Linked DNA regions of Caenorhabditis elegans. The protein of the gene in region 2 interacts with the protein of the main gene of each other region in a biochemical or structural test. Each region holds a gene or a part of one and is shown on either strand. Other genes may lie near its edges.

What was found.
Region 1: of the proteins of oma-2 (region 2) and gsk-3, one has a biochemical effect on the other in vitro, tested with the Caenorhabditis elegans proteins (one study listed by BioGRID).

Annotation. Positions count from the first base shown.
Region 1 is NC_003279.8:12,816,729-12,825,862, reverse strand, and holds gsk-3 (Glycogen synthase kinase-3), read right to left. Parts: upstream 6,648-9,134; 5' UTR 6,502-6,647; coding exon 6,409-6,501; intron 5,329-6,408; coding exon 5,060-5,328; intron 4,214-5,059; coding exon 3,637-4,213; intron 1,745-3,636; exon of another isoform or gene 1,691-1,744; intron 1,348-1,690; coding exon 1,198-1,347; 3' UTR 261-1,197; downstream 1-260. Other genes in the region: nhx-8 (Sodium/hydrogen exchanger), read right to left, coding at 69-71.
Region 2 is NC_003283.11:8,027,302-8,032,460, reverse strand, and holds oma-2 (CCCH-type zinc finger protein oma-2), read right to left. Parts: upstream 3,023-5,159; 5' UTR 2,953-3,022; coding exon 2,915-2,952; intron 2,867-2,914; coding exon 2,711-2,866; intron 2,663-2,710; coding exon 2,441-2,662; intron 2,397-2,440; coding exon 2,249-2,396; intron 2,204-2,248; coding exon 1,987-2,203; intron 1,942-1,986; coding exon 1,541-1,941; 3' UTR 1,247-1,540; downstream 1-1,246. Other genes in the region: vars-1 (valine--tRNA ligase), read right to left, coding at 1-584, 630-751, 798-874, 917-1,005; F43H9.4 (Glycine N-acyltransferase-like protein), read right to left, coding at 3,744-3,906, 3,955-4,016, 4,064-4,172, 4,288-4,499, 4,556-4,697. UniProt on the Caenorhabditis elegans protein: Zinc-finger RNA-binding protein that binds to 5'-UA[AU]-3' motifs in the 3'-UTR of maternal mRNAs to suppress translation in oocytes and embryos.

The sequences.
Region 1 (9,134 bases), on a different chromosome or scaffold from region 2:
AAAAAAAAAGTAATTTTCGTAGTTTGTAGTCACAAAGACTACAAACTACAAAACCACCACAGCCTCACCATTTATGTTCAGTAGCAATGTATAGTAAATTTCAGCGCCAGCGGTTCAAAATGAAAAATATTAACAAGGAAGCTTCTCGTCTCTTCAAAGGCGCATCGGACAAATAAATGACTGTTTAATGTCCAAAGAAGAGGCATTATTCGGAGATGCGCGCGCGGGGGGATGATCATTATCTCGAAAATCTTCAGAAAAATCGATCCACTTTTATTTCCAGGAAAAAAAATGAAAATAAAATGAGAGAGAGAGAGAGAGACGGAGAGAATTTGGATGGTGTGTGAAATTTCAGTTGGTGGTGGTGGTAGAGTGGGGAAAAATAAAATATTTTTAAAATGTAATGAATTGGGGGGACAAATACTATATTTCCAAAAAATATATAAAAAATTTCCACAAAAACAGGGACATTGGCGTTGTGGGGAGACACTTACAGAGCAAAAAAAAGAAAAGAAAAAAAGACAGAAAATATGGGGGAGAGAGAGAGCAGTTTTCAATTCATTTTTGGCTAGAAATTTCTTTAGAGGAGAGCGTGGGAACACAAAATCGGGATTACAAAAGAAAACGGCGGCGGAGGGGGAGGAAATGTACAGAAGTCGCGGATTTTTTCAGGCCTTTGGGCCTAGATGAAGTCCTAAAAAATTGGGCCTCAAAAATTAGGCCAAAGGTTTAAAAAACCCAAAATTTTTGGCCTAAAACCCAATTTTCAGCCAAAATTTCAGGAACCTTGAAAACCTAATTTTTAGCCAAATTTTCACAGAAAAATCCAGGGGGGAGCCAGGTGGGGTAAAAAAAAAAGAGTAAAAATTCAAGTTTTTCGAGACAAAAAAGCTTGAGGGGACAATAAAATAAAATAAAAGAAGAGCAGCAGACAATCGAGTTGGGGGGAAATGCTTCTACAACACAGTTGCTATGGAGACGATACGGGCGATGGAGGGGGGTGGGGGGGGGAGGGCTCAAAAGAAAAAATAATAATTTTTTTCTTAATGATGATAGGTATGGAGAGAGAGAGAGACAGAGAGAGAGGAGAGGATGGATGTATAAAATCAATGGAAAAGAAAAATCCCACGGAAAATGAAAAAAAAAGAAACATTCGAGAGAAAATTCAGAACCAATATTAAAATAAAAAAAAGAAGTTTAAGCCGATGGGCCAGCCACATCACCGCTTGTCGTTGAAACTTCACCAGTTCCCATTGGACCGTCCATCTCAAGTGTTGGAAGAGGTCGACCAGATGGAAGACGTGCATCCGGGTTTCGGAGCTCATCAAAGAATGCGTGCTGGCAGGCCTGAAAAAGACGAAAAACATATATATATTGGTTGAATTGTTAAAGTAGCGTGAATTGGGGGCGATTTTGTCTCTCAAAAATTTCAAAATACAGTCTCAAATTCAGAAAAACGAGCAAAATCGATATTTTTGTCCATTGTGAGTTCCAAATTCCCCATGTTTGAATCCACGTGGAGTCAGAAAGTCCCATTTTGATTTGATCTACGAAAAATGCGGGAGATGAGACGCAAACATCTCAACTGATTTCACATGGTTAAAAGCGTGCAGACGTTACAATTTTTCTGGGAAAAAATTCCCGCATTTTTTGTAGATCAAAACGCAGACAATTCCCTCCAAAATGCAAACTCCCCAATCGATCAATCAACGACATCGAACTCCGCCCACTTCATCTGATTGGTTGAAAAGTGGGCAGGACGAATCGCTGATTGGTCGGGAAGTTCTCGTTTTGGAGGAAATTCAAAATGGAAATTTAAAATATACTAGTTAGTCACAATAGGGAAAATCGTGTTTTCGAAAGTTGAATTGTTCATTTTTCTCGATTTTGCTCGTTTTTTGTGGTTTTTCTAAATTTAAAAGTGTTTTCAAGCCAATTTTCTAATTTTCAACCATCATACCACGTAAATGTCTCCATCTTTAAAATTACGAGAACATCATAATTTTCTGGAAATCTCATTTGTAGTATGGCCTCTAATATTCTTGCAGTTGACATTTAGTTACTAGTTTCAAAAAATAAAAGTACGGATAAATTGTGAGCCGAGTTTTTTACTGCTCACTGCTTGTCAGCGAGTTCTATAAAAATTCCAAGAAACATTTCTTTCCAAGTTTTAGCTGAAATTTTGTTAAATTCAAGTTGAAATTTCAGTGGGATTTTCAATTTTTATGTCTATTTCAGATTTCACTAACTTTGAATTTATAGCTTTTTTTTCAAAATTAAAAACCACGGTTTCACAAGTTATCTTTTTCCAAAAATTGGAAAAAAAAGCCAAAATTCTGCAATTTTTTTTGTGTAAAAATCTAATGCTCCCATCTGCTTCCATAAATATCTTCCATATTCGTGCCAATTTGAGAAATCTAAGAAAAAAAACCGGGAAATGGCTTGATCTATGGGAGAATTACAATGAGGAAACAAAGATTTCAACGATAGATATTAAGGCGATTTTCAAAAGCAACCAACGAACGGGGTGGACTTTCTAAGCGGTTTTGTGAGGGGGCGATCGAATTTGTGAACAATGAAGATACTTTTTTTTGGAAAAATACAGATAAAATCATTGAATTTCGTTTCAAACTGGCTGCTTTTTTTTTGAGCGATCGAAAATCTGCAAAATCTGCAATTTTCAAAATGGAGGAAAAATAAGCTGACCGAATGGCCGAAATTTTTTAAATAAATTTTCAGTCAACTGTCTAATGTCTCAAAAATCACACTCAACTTTCTCTTTTTTTTTCATTCATATTACGGGAACCGAAAATTCTGAGAAGAATGCGTATTACACATCATAATTGACGCGCAAAATATCTCATTGCGAAAACTACAGTAACCCTTTAAATGGGTACTATAGCTCCGTGTGGCGATTTACGGGATTGATTTTCGATATGAATCTATTCTATATTTTCCTTCGTTTCTTCGTATTATTGTCTCATTTTTTGATTAATAAATGCAGAATAAAAATCGAGCCCGTAAATCGACACAAGCGCAGCGCTACAGTAGTCCTTTAAAAGGTTACTGTAGTTTTCGCTACGATATATTTTGCGCATCGAATATGTTTTTTTAAGGATTTTGTGTTCCATAATAACTTTTGTGAGCAAAAATTCGCATTTTTTGAGAATAAAATTACAGAACATTCGCTTTCAAAACCGAAAAACAAAAAAAAAGTCCATTTTTAGACAATTTCAATAATTTTTTGACACAATTTTAATATAAGTTTTGTTTTTCCATTTTCAAGTGTTTTTAAACGTTAAAAACTACCGGAAATCAGTTTTTGACATTTTTTGTGCAATTTTCGCCATTTTAATTATCTCGATAAAAAGTCGAAAAATTCAAACTTCCATTAATTTTTAGAGATTTTTCTCATAAAATTGTAAAATAGCCAAAATGATTAAAATTCCTGAATTTCGCAGTATTTTTTAAACTTTTGGGCAATTTTCTCAAGTTTTCAATGACAAAAAATCAATTTTTTTCAATTTAAAAGGTTTTTAGTTGAAAAAAGAGTCGATTTTCAGCAATTTAGTGTTGGGAAAACATTTTTAATTCATTTTTCGGCCTTTTTTCTACAAAAACCCCCAAAAAACTCACCGCTTGAGGTGTTGGCCGAGACGTCGGCGTATACTCGATAATCTTCGAAATGAGATCAATCGCTTCAGCAGGCGTGTGTACACGGAATACCTTATTCCATGGATGTGCCTTTATCTGTGGAAATTTGAATTCCTTGTAGTTCGGATTCATACTTTGAATTTGTTCACGAGTCGGTGTTCCAAGAACTTTAATAATTTCAACGAGTTGATCAACTCCAGAGTCACCAGGGAAAATTGGTTGGCCGAGAAGAAGCTCTGCCATTACAGTTCCAGCCGACCAAACGTCAATCGAGTTCGTGTAGTTTGTAGCGCCGAAAATGAGCTCCGGAGCACGATAATATCGCGAGCAAATGTACGAGACGTTTGGCTCATTGCGAACCAAATATTTGGCAGATCCAAAATCACAGAGCTTAAGCACTCCGCTTTCCGGGTCAATGAGCAAATTCTGAGGCTTAATGTCACGGTGACAGATTCCAATGCTATGAATGTAGGCCAATGAACGGAGAAGCTGATACATGTACAATTTGACATAAATCATTGGAATTTGTTGTCGCTGCTTCGAATAGTGCCGGGCAACTCTGCAAAAATTAAAAATTTCAAATAAATTTCGCAAAACATCAAGTTTTTTTGTTTAAAAATCGATTTTTCTAAATTTTTTCAATTTTTACATAATTTTTTCCATAAATTTTAGTCAAAAATTGTCAAAAAAAAATTTCTAGGTTTTCAACTTGAAAATTCAAAATTATAAAAAAATAGAATATTTTCAATTTTGTAAAGAATTTTGCAAAATTTCAAGTTTTTTTGTTTTAAAATCGTATTTTCTAAATTCCAAGCTATCAGCCATGTAGTTTGTAGCCTTTCTATACGTTTGGAACGCATTTTTGAACTTTTAAATAGCTTTTTACATAAATTTCAGGAGGAAATTCGTGAAATAGTGCATTTTAGTCAAAAATGTTGCAAAGAAATCTGCTTGAAATCGCCCTGTAGCGCTGGAATTCGGGAAAAATCAATTTTTATCTTAAAAAATCAAAATTTAGCGAAAAAATTCAATTTTCGAACCAAAATTTCACAAAATCGACGGAAAATCAAATTTCCATGAATTTTTGTCAGAAATTAACAAAAAAGGTTAAAAAAATCAGGCATTTTTTGATTATTTCCTTTAAAAATTTACATTAACATCATTTTTAAACAGTTTTTCACAAAAAAAAACATAAAAATTCAGCTTTTTATTGAATTTCTACTATTGTTTTTCAAAATTTTTAAAAATATCTTTAAAAAAGAAATTCGCAATTTTTATTTAAAAATTTCCAAAAAAATTTTTTTTTTCAATTTTTAAATAAGAAATTCTCTTTATTTTTGAACAAAAAAATTCCGCTAAAAACTGAAATTTTCCAGAAATTTTTAAAAATCCTAATAAAAATAACCTGTAGACAGTTTCAGGAACATATTCGAGAATCAAATTCAAGTAGAGTTCATCCTTCTTCTCGCCGCTCGAATAGAAAAAGTATTTGAGCTTCACGATATTTGGATGATTCAATTTTCGCATAATCTGTAGTTCACGATTCTTGAATCGTTTGTCCTGAAGAACTTTCTTGATTGCAACCATTTCATTTGTTGTAGAGAGTTTGGCAAGGAATACCACTCCGAATGATCCATTTCCAATCACTTTCTGATCGTAGTACGAGATTTCAACCTACAATACATTTTTTTTTAATTAAAATTTGAATTACAGTGTTTTTTTTCGTTTGGAGATTTTTTAATAATAATTTTTTCACATTTTATCAGCTAGTTTTCCAGCAAATTTCCTTTTTTTTTTTTTGAAGAAATTGATATTTTAAGTGCTTGAGTAAAATCGTGTACTCCACGAGGAAAAGGAGAACAATTTTGTCAACCTATTTATTACGTGTTTATCCACAGATGAGAAAAATCGCCATATCTGCCGCGCAAATGAACCCGCGGGAAGAGATAAAACTACTGTAGTTTTTAACCAATTTGTGTAGATTTACGAGCTATTGCGTCATCGTTGAATTTAATTTGCAGGCGTTTTTCTAATTTTTTTGTGTTTTCTTTTAAGATTTATTCAATAAATAGATAAATTTCAATATAAAAAAGAGTGAAACACGCCTGAAAATTAAAAATTGCGGCTCAAAATTAAATTCAACGATGACGCAATAGCTCGTAAATCTACACAAATTGGTTAAAAACTACAGTAGTTTTGTCTCTTCCCGCGGGTTCATTTGCGCGGCAGATATGGCGATTTTTCTTATCTGTGGATAAACACGTAATAACTCATTTATTGTGTTGTACTAAATATCGAAAAATATATTTGTATCACTTCCAAAGAGTTTTTTTTTGTGAAAATCCTCATTTTCATGCATTTCCACCAGAGGTGGGCGGATATTTTTTCGGATATTTTCTAATAATGAATTTATCAATAAGTATTGATGTAGTTATTCTGGAAGAAATGTATCCGAACAAAAGAGTAACTATTAAGCAATCGGATATTACGGATATTACGGATATCGGATAATGGACTTGCATATCGTTTATACAGAAAACTTGTAGAATTTTTTTAGGTTTTATCATATTAAAATGTTGCTTAATAGTTACTCTTTTGTTCGGATACATTTTTTCCAGAATAACTACATCAATACTTATTGATAAATTCATTATTAGAAAATATCCGAAAAAAATACCCGCCCACCTCTGATATCCAACTTCTTTTCATCCAAATTTCTCCGAGAAAATTAAAATTTCCTCACTCAAAACCAACCTGCTGATCAACACCATCCGTGGCGACTGACGCGACGACCATCGTCACTTGTTTTCCGCTTTTCAGCGAGCACGATAGTAACTGCTTATTCATCACACCACACTACTGATTGATTTGATTCTTGTGTGTGTGTGTGTATATATGAGCTCTGTCCAATAAATGAGAAGAGCCAGAGATTAGATGATGAGGATATGATGTGGTTTTTTGAGAGGGAAAACGGAGAGAATGAGGCTATTCACCTGAAAATAAAAAATAATAAAATATTTCATTTGGGCGTTGGGTTTGAAAAATACGAGGAAACGTATAAAAATGGGTGATATTTAAGGCAAATATGAGGTGAAATGGAGTAACATTTCAAAATTCGATAAACTTTTAGGAATTCCTAGCCAAAGTGGGAACAGGGGTGGGCGGCAAACGACTTTTTCTGGCAAATCGGTAAACCGGCCAATTTCCGACGAATCGGCAATTTGTCGAATTTGTAGGACTATTAAAGAGCTGTTAAATATGGATTTCGCCAAAAAACTTTACTGGAAATTAGACGATTTTTGGCATTTTCAGCCCATTTTTTTAGGATTCGCTTCAAAAAATCCAAAATAGTCGTAGGGGAGCTCTCATTTTGGAGGATATTCAAACTAGAATAGAATTTAGCCAAAAATTGAAAAAATCGAAGTTTTAAAAGTAGTATTTCTCAAAACTTCTAAAGTTTTTTCTAAAGCTTAATGTAATGTTATTAGCTCGAAAAAGTTGGCTAACTCACTGTAATAAAAGGGAAACGCCAAAACTGCCAAATTTTTAAATATAGAAATGAATTTTTTGAATTTTAAAATTAAAAAAAGGGAAGTAAAATCTAATCCGACACGTTTTAATGTACGTTTTTTTCAAAATAAATAAATACATATTCATTCGAAATTGAATTTTTCTAAATTTAGCGGCAATAAAAAATATATTTCTAGAAGAAACTATATTTTTGGTACTTATGGGTTTCGTTCCCCCCAAAATGATTTTTAATTATTCAACACTACCTTTTTAATTTTAATCCACACGTTATTGTTTATTTTAATACTGTTTTCATTTTTACAAGGCTTAGAAAATCATTTCCCTAAGCCTGGGAATGAAAAAAAAGTTCACGTATCAATTAGAAAATATGGAAATCATTTTGGGGGGAACGAAACCCATAAGTACCATATTTTTTGATTTGGAATTGATATAATTGCTATTTTCGTAAGTATTTCAAAATTCTGACTGAATCAAAATAAAATGCTTCAATTGCTCATCTTAAAATAGCATGTAAGCCCATTTTGCTACACAATTTCAAGAAATTTCACTAGCGCGATCGAAATAACCAGTTTAATAGGAAATTACTCATATTTTCAACGGAAAATGCTCAAAATCGCCAAAACTCACCGCTTCTCACTAACGATTGAACGAAAAATGACTAAATTTCGGTGTTGTTTTTTTTATTTTAAAAAACTAATCCAACACGTTTTAAAAATAAATAGAATTGCTTTTTATATAAATACAAAAATACATTTTATTTCAAAATTGATTTTTTCCAATTAAATTTCGTGGCAATAAAAAGGTACGTATTTTTTTAAAATGTTGTTCCTTGGGAAAAATCAAAAAAGATTTTGGCTAAACAGGATTCTATATTGATCGTAATAGGGAATATATAAATATATATACCGGAAAACTGGCAATTGTCGTTCGGAAAATTGTTTTCCGGGAAACTGCCGGTTTGCCAGTTTGCCGGAAATTTTCATGTTCGGCAAATTGCACAATGTCAATTTGCCGAACATCAATTTGCATATATGTATCTTTATATATATATATATATATAATATATATGTGTCAGTCAATATGAGGGGGTGGAAAAGAAGGAAAAACAGCTAAAATTGAGTGTGGTGAGCGAGTGAGCGCGAGCGCGTGTCTGATGGAGGAAATGGGCAAAAATATGGTGAGATGGAGAAGAAAAAGGAAATGAAAAAGAAAAAAGAAGAAGAAGAAATGCGCTATCAATGTGGAAATAAGCATATTCAATGTTCCCATGGTTTCTATTTTCATTCTATACTGATTTTATATTTATTTTTGTATCGGAAATGTTGAAATTCGGCAATGTCGGGAATGTCCAATTAAGGGTGGACGGAAATTTGGCAATTTTTTTTGCGAACTTGCCGGTTTGCGGATTTGCCGGAATTTTTCATTCTCGGTAATTTGCCGATTTGCCGTTTGCCGGAAATGTGCCGTTTTGAAATTTTTTCCCGTTTTCTTTAAGTATTTTCATAGAATTTGCTTACTGTTCAAAATAGATATAGGAACATTCACAGAATGGGAACAATTTTGCCGATTAAAATTTAAATTCTGAAATTTCCAAAAAAAATGTGCGAATCCGCAATTTTCCAAAAATTTTCGGCAATTGCCGTTTTTTCGGTACATCGGAAATTATCGGTAAATTGCCGGTTTGCCGATTTGCCAGAAATTTTCAATTCCGGCAATTTGCCGATTTGCCGGAAATTATATCGTATATTCGCAAATAATAGAAACGATACTTTAAAGGAACACGCTCACATTCTCAGTGGGTCTCGTCACGACCCCTCCGAAAAATTCTAGAATTGTGATTTTCTGAGTCTTTGGCTACAGTTACGGGTACGGTAGAGTCCCTGAGTACGGTAGATAAACAATTTTTTTCGTGCCGAGACCCGAAATCTAGTTCTCAGGTTAAAAATCGC
Region 2 (5,159 bases):
ACTGGAGACCAAACATGTTTTCCGTGGAACTTTGAATATCTATCATCTTCTGGATGAACTGCTACGGCCACATCCGCGAACAAAGTTTCTGGGCGAGTTGTTCCAACTTCAATGAATTCAGATTCAGAATCTACCAGATTGTATCTAATTACATGCATTTGACCGAACTTCACTCTTCTCCGTGTTCCACTTGACGACGATAAATTGATGTAACCATCAGATGGAACATCAATTCGATTTACTTCTTGACTCGATAATGTAGATGATAGTGTTGGACACCAATGAACTAATCGTTTGCCACGTGTAATCAAATCTTCTTGCTCAAGAATGCAAAAAGCTTTTGTGACGGCTTCGGAAAATTTTGAATCGAGAGTATAATATGATTGAGTCCAGTCGAGAGAAGCTCCCATTCGAGTCAATTGCTGTCGAATTTCAGATGAGCATTTTTCACCCCACAAATGGCATTCTTTCACAAACTCTTCGCGTGTCATCTCAAGTCGTCGCTTTCCATTTTTTGCCAATATTTTTTCCACGACTACTTGTGTGGCGATTCCTGCGTGATCAAATCCAGGAATCCATTCGGCCTGAAAACATAAAAATAAGCATCTTAATTTTTCGTGAAATTTTACTTTATTTCCCTGATTTCTCTGGTGTCGACAAATAGCATCTTCCACTGCAACTGTTAGAGCATGTCCCAAATGCAGTTTACCAGTTACGTTTGGCGGGGGTAAAACCATACGAAATAGACTGCCTGAAAAATATTTTTTTGCCTAGAACTATTATCAAGGAAATCTGACCATTCTTTCGATAATTTGCAGCGGCAAACTCTGTTCTTTGTTCAAAATTTTGTGTTACCTCGTCGATGTTAAAGGAGCTGAAAAAATTAGTTATTTTATTTTCTTAGTTTATCGTTTACCTACTACTTTCACGTGTAATAATTGTCGGTGAGTAAGCACATTGCCTTCTTGAACGATGAAAAAGTGCTAATCGATTCAATTTACCCATTTATTTCACCTGAAACCACAAACAATAATTTAAAAGAAAGAATGCGCTCAATCTGTTGAAAAATTAACGCTCGTCTGGACGAAGCAAATGCGCCCTGTCGCGAAACTAATTGGAGGGAAGATTAAAAAATATTTTTTTGTCAAACGAAACATTTCAGAAATTATTTTGCAATTCTATAATTGAAAATCAGATATCTTCGTGAAAAAACGTTATTTCCAGATGGTCTTCAAAAACATTGATTGACATTCGATAAAGTTTATTGATTGTTAGTGTGGGGAGAGGATACGAGCAATTTATATTTGGAGGGAATTGAAAATACATGCAATGATATCCGATATAATAAAATGCAGCAAAATAATTCAAGTTTAGTTTCAGAGCCTGCGAGAGATGGGGGGAGCGAGCGTGCTTTCTATATGACAGGAACATTGAGCTTATTATATTTACAAATTGCGCGCGTTATTATAGTTAGTATGGGACATAAAAACGTATGGCAATTTGACAAAATGTATAAATAGATGGGGAAGGAGGTGGTTATTCACCACAATTCAAGGTGCTTGGCAATGTCCATGGCAAGTTGATCAAGTCCAGGAATTGGAAGAGTTGTCTCGTTTCCAATCATCGGATTGTTGATAGACTTCAGAAGAATAGACTGAGCAGACTCCGAGTTGGCTTGGCAGGCAGCATCTGCAGCAGCAGAAGCAGCTGTGAGTGGAGACGAATCACTATCTTGAGACGGAGTTGATCCAGAGGAAGAATATCCCGAAACTCCTCCCGGTGTTGATTGTTTTCCAAGCATAGAGTATTGCATGTTCCCGGCTGCTCCAATAAGCATAGACTCAAACGGACTGATTGGACGAGTTGCCATATTCAGACTATCCAATGCGAAGAAAGTTGATGGATCCAACGGCCAGCTTGATGGTGGGCGATTCCCGGCTTCTGTAAAATTATTTTGAATTAATCATCAATATTCAATTTTCATACCCTCAGTCTCAAGTGGCTTCTTCGATGGCAACTCGTATCGTGGTCCACGAATGCTAACTGGGGTTGGACCCAATGGCATATTTGCTGCTGGCTCATCTGGTGTGCATGGCCTTGCAAACATATCAAATTGTTGAGGGCCGGCTGTAGAACGACCTCCATTCATGATATGATGCTCCATTTGATCGCGAAGGTCGGCCAAAGCATGACGTTGCGAAACCTGTTGAAGATTTGATTAAAGTGGAAAATTAAAAAGTTATCTTACCTCGAACAATTTATCGGCTCGAATGTATGCATTTGGTCCATTGTCCGGATGAATGAAAAGACAGCGTTTTCCATATGGGCACAACCCAGTAGTAGTGTACTTATCGCAGAGCTTCGTCCGGTACTTATTGTTTTGACGTGCCTCGATCCTGTAAAATATGTTGTGTAATCTTAATTCAATGTTCAAACCAACAGAGATGGACGAAGCTCCTCTTCGCCGTGAGCAAAACGACAGTTCTCCGCGAAAGCACATGTCTTCGACTCCAACCAAGCCTGACATATGACAGTCTTGTACGATTCCGGTTTTTGCATTCGGTGACGGCGTCTTGGATCAGCATGATATTGCAGTGGGAGAATAGCTTCCTGTGGAAGATTTTGAAGAGCTCTCATTTGCATCGAATGAATATGCTCGTTTCTGAGAAGATAAAATTTAAGAAACAGTCCATTTATCCTATAGAATTACTCAGCAATCTCCTTGAGAAGCTGCTCCTTGACAGCCATCAGGTTAGCGGTCTCGGAAAGCAAATCGTCGATATGAGAAATCGGTTTTTGCTGTTCTTCCGGAACAGTCTCCATCATATCGGGATGCGATGGTTCAACACTCGACTCTGTACGAGCCCTTAAAAAAGAAAATTAAAATTGAGAAACTATGATAAAAGTGGCTCACTCATTATTCTGGATAACATTTTCCTTGAGCATATCCATTATTTCGTTAGTAGTGCAGGGGAAATGGGTGGTTAGTGATTAGGCGTGGGGTGCTCGGTTAATTGATTCCCTGAAATTTAAAGAAATTTTAAAAATGGTAAGATTCCGCGAGCAATGAATAACAACCGTCTAAAGAATGAAAGAAATAAGTTTTTAACGAGAAAAAACGAATGCGCCAAAACGGTATAAAATTATTGTTTTAAGCGACGTAATTCAGAAATAAGCTCTTTTAAAATTCAAATAAACGGGCCAAAATCCTTCTGAATGAAATAAATGAATGAACAGAACCAAATGTTGTTGAACAAAAGAAAACTGAAGAAAACCATCTCTGTCCCAAAATTTCGAAACAAAAAGTCAATGTTTGGCGGCAATGCGCGCTAAATAAGATCAAATAATTATTTTTTAATACTTAAGTTTAGAATTAAGTCTGAAATTTATGGTTGAATCAAAGTCAAAAAACTTGCAAGAAAATGTTGCCAATTTTCACCAATGACTACGGTCACACTCGTTTGAGATGTGCACTCCCCGCTGCTGCGCCTTTAAAGGTTACTGTAACTAATAATTTTTTTTTAGCAAGCATGGAAATTGTGTAATTGTCTGAAAAAGTAACTCATAAACAGCGAATAACTAGATTTTCTCGACTAAAAAATTTTCAACAACACTGTCTGACCAAAATCTAGCTGTAAAAGAACATTACTTTGCAAATATACTTGCTGGAAGGTATTCGAATTTTTATTCAATATTTACATGTATATTTGATTTATTGTAAGTTCATTGTATTCCTATTAAAATCACTTGTGCATTCCATAATTTGACGCCTGGGAATAAACATTTTGGTCGAAAACTAGCGGTGTTCCATTGGACTCAACAACATCCATCAACTTTGACTTTTTTGCTTTTTCCAAGAAGAAACTGTTTGTTGTGTCGATGAACTTGCATGGACGCATTCCATTTCTAAAATATTATCATTTTTCCACAGTCCTTTGTCAAAAAATCACTCACTCAATAGCCATTTTAGCAGCTCCAATCTCCAACTTCTCTCCAAGATTTTTACCACGATGCCCCTAAAAACAGATTTGAAAATATTCAATTTGAAAATAGTAAAACTCACATCAAAGACATGCAAATGAGCAAGTGCTCCGTGAGTTTCTGAAGAAATGAATCCAACAAGTTCGTCGCCTTTACGAACGCAGAGCGATGGGAACCGTCGAAGTTTTTCTCTGAAAAAAATTCCTATTTTTCCATGTAACTGTTGTTTTACGATTTCTCGATTTTGTGAGAAAATGATATAAATCTAGTACTGTTGGTTTTTAATTTCCTGATCCAAAAACTCACTCTACTAATTTTGCATTTGGTGTGATAGATGATCCTACAATCTTCATAACATCATTTGTTGATTCAGGTATATCAATTGAGTATCCATCAGGTAATGTTGTATCACCATAATTTCTATATTTGAAAATTTGACTTTCATTCATTGCAAAAAAGTGTGTTGATTTGTTTTGCACCTCTGCATTAATATTGTTTTTCTTCATGTACTTTTCAATCTAAAATCAAACGTTTCTTATCTATTAACCTTTGTTCTGTTTTCATTGTGTATTACCGCTTTAGTGTAACATTTCTCGGCTACAGTTGATGGAGCATTGGAGCCAGCAAACAATCCATTTGTTTTACAGAATTCATCAAAAACCGCCAGAAAGTCTTCTTCTCGAAACTTTCCATCGTGTGTCAGAATTTGACGGTCTCTGAAAAGGTGCGAAGGTCAATTTCGAATTGAAAAAAAGAGATAGCAAAAGGTGGGAAAAGGTCTTTAGTGATACTGAAAAATGTTTTTGAAAATGAAGAAAAACTGGTTTAGGAATGGATTGTCATGGAAATGTTTGATCTTATCAAATATTACGGTCGAATCGGAAAAACATGAGTGAAGATACGGAAAAATGTAGTCAGCCATGGACATTTAAAACGGAATTCACTTTTTTTTCAAAGTGAACAAAGTTTAGGGTCGCGTGTACCTACTTATAAAGTAATTGTCCCATGTATTGAAAGTTCATGTTTTTGTAGTTTGAAACGGGAGGAAATGGCAAAGTTGTTGGCAAGTCAAATACATTCTCTACATTGAAAATTTCAAGTTGCTTTCTAACCTTACTTATCTAGGTTTATGCGGGCATATATACAAACTTCGTACAGTAACTCGTTCGTTTTCGAAA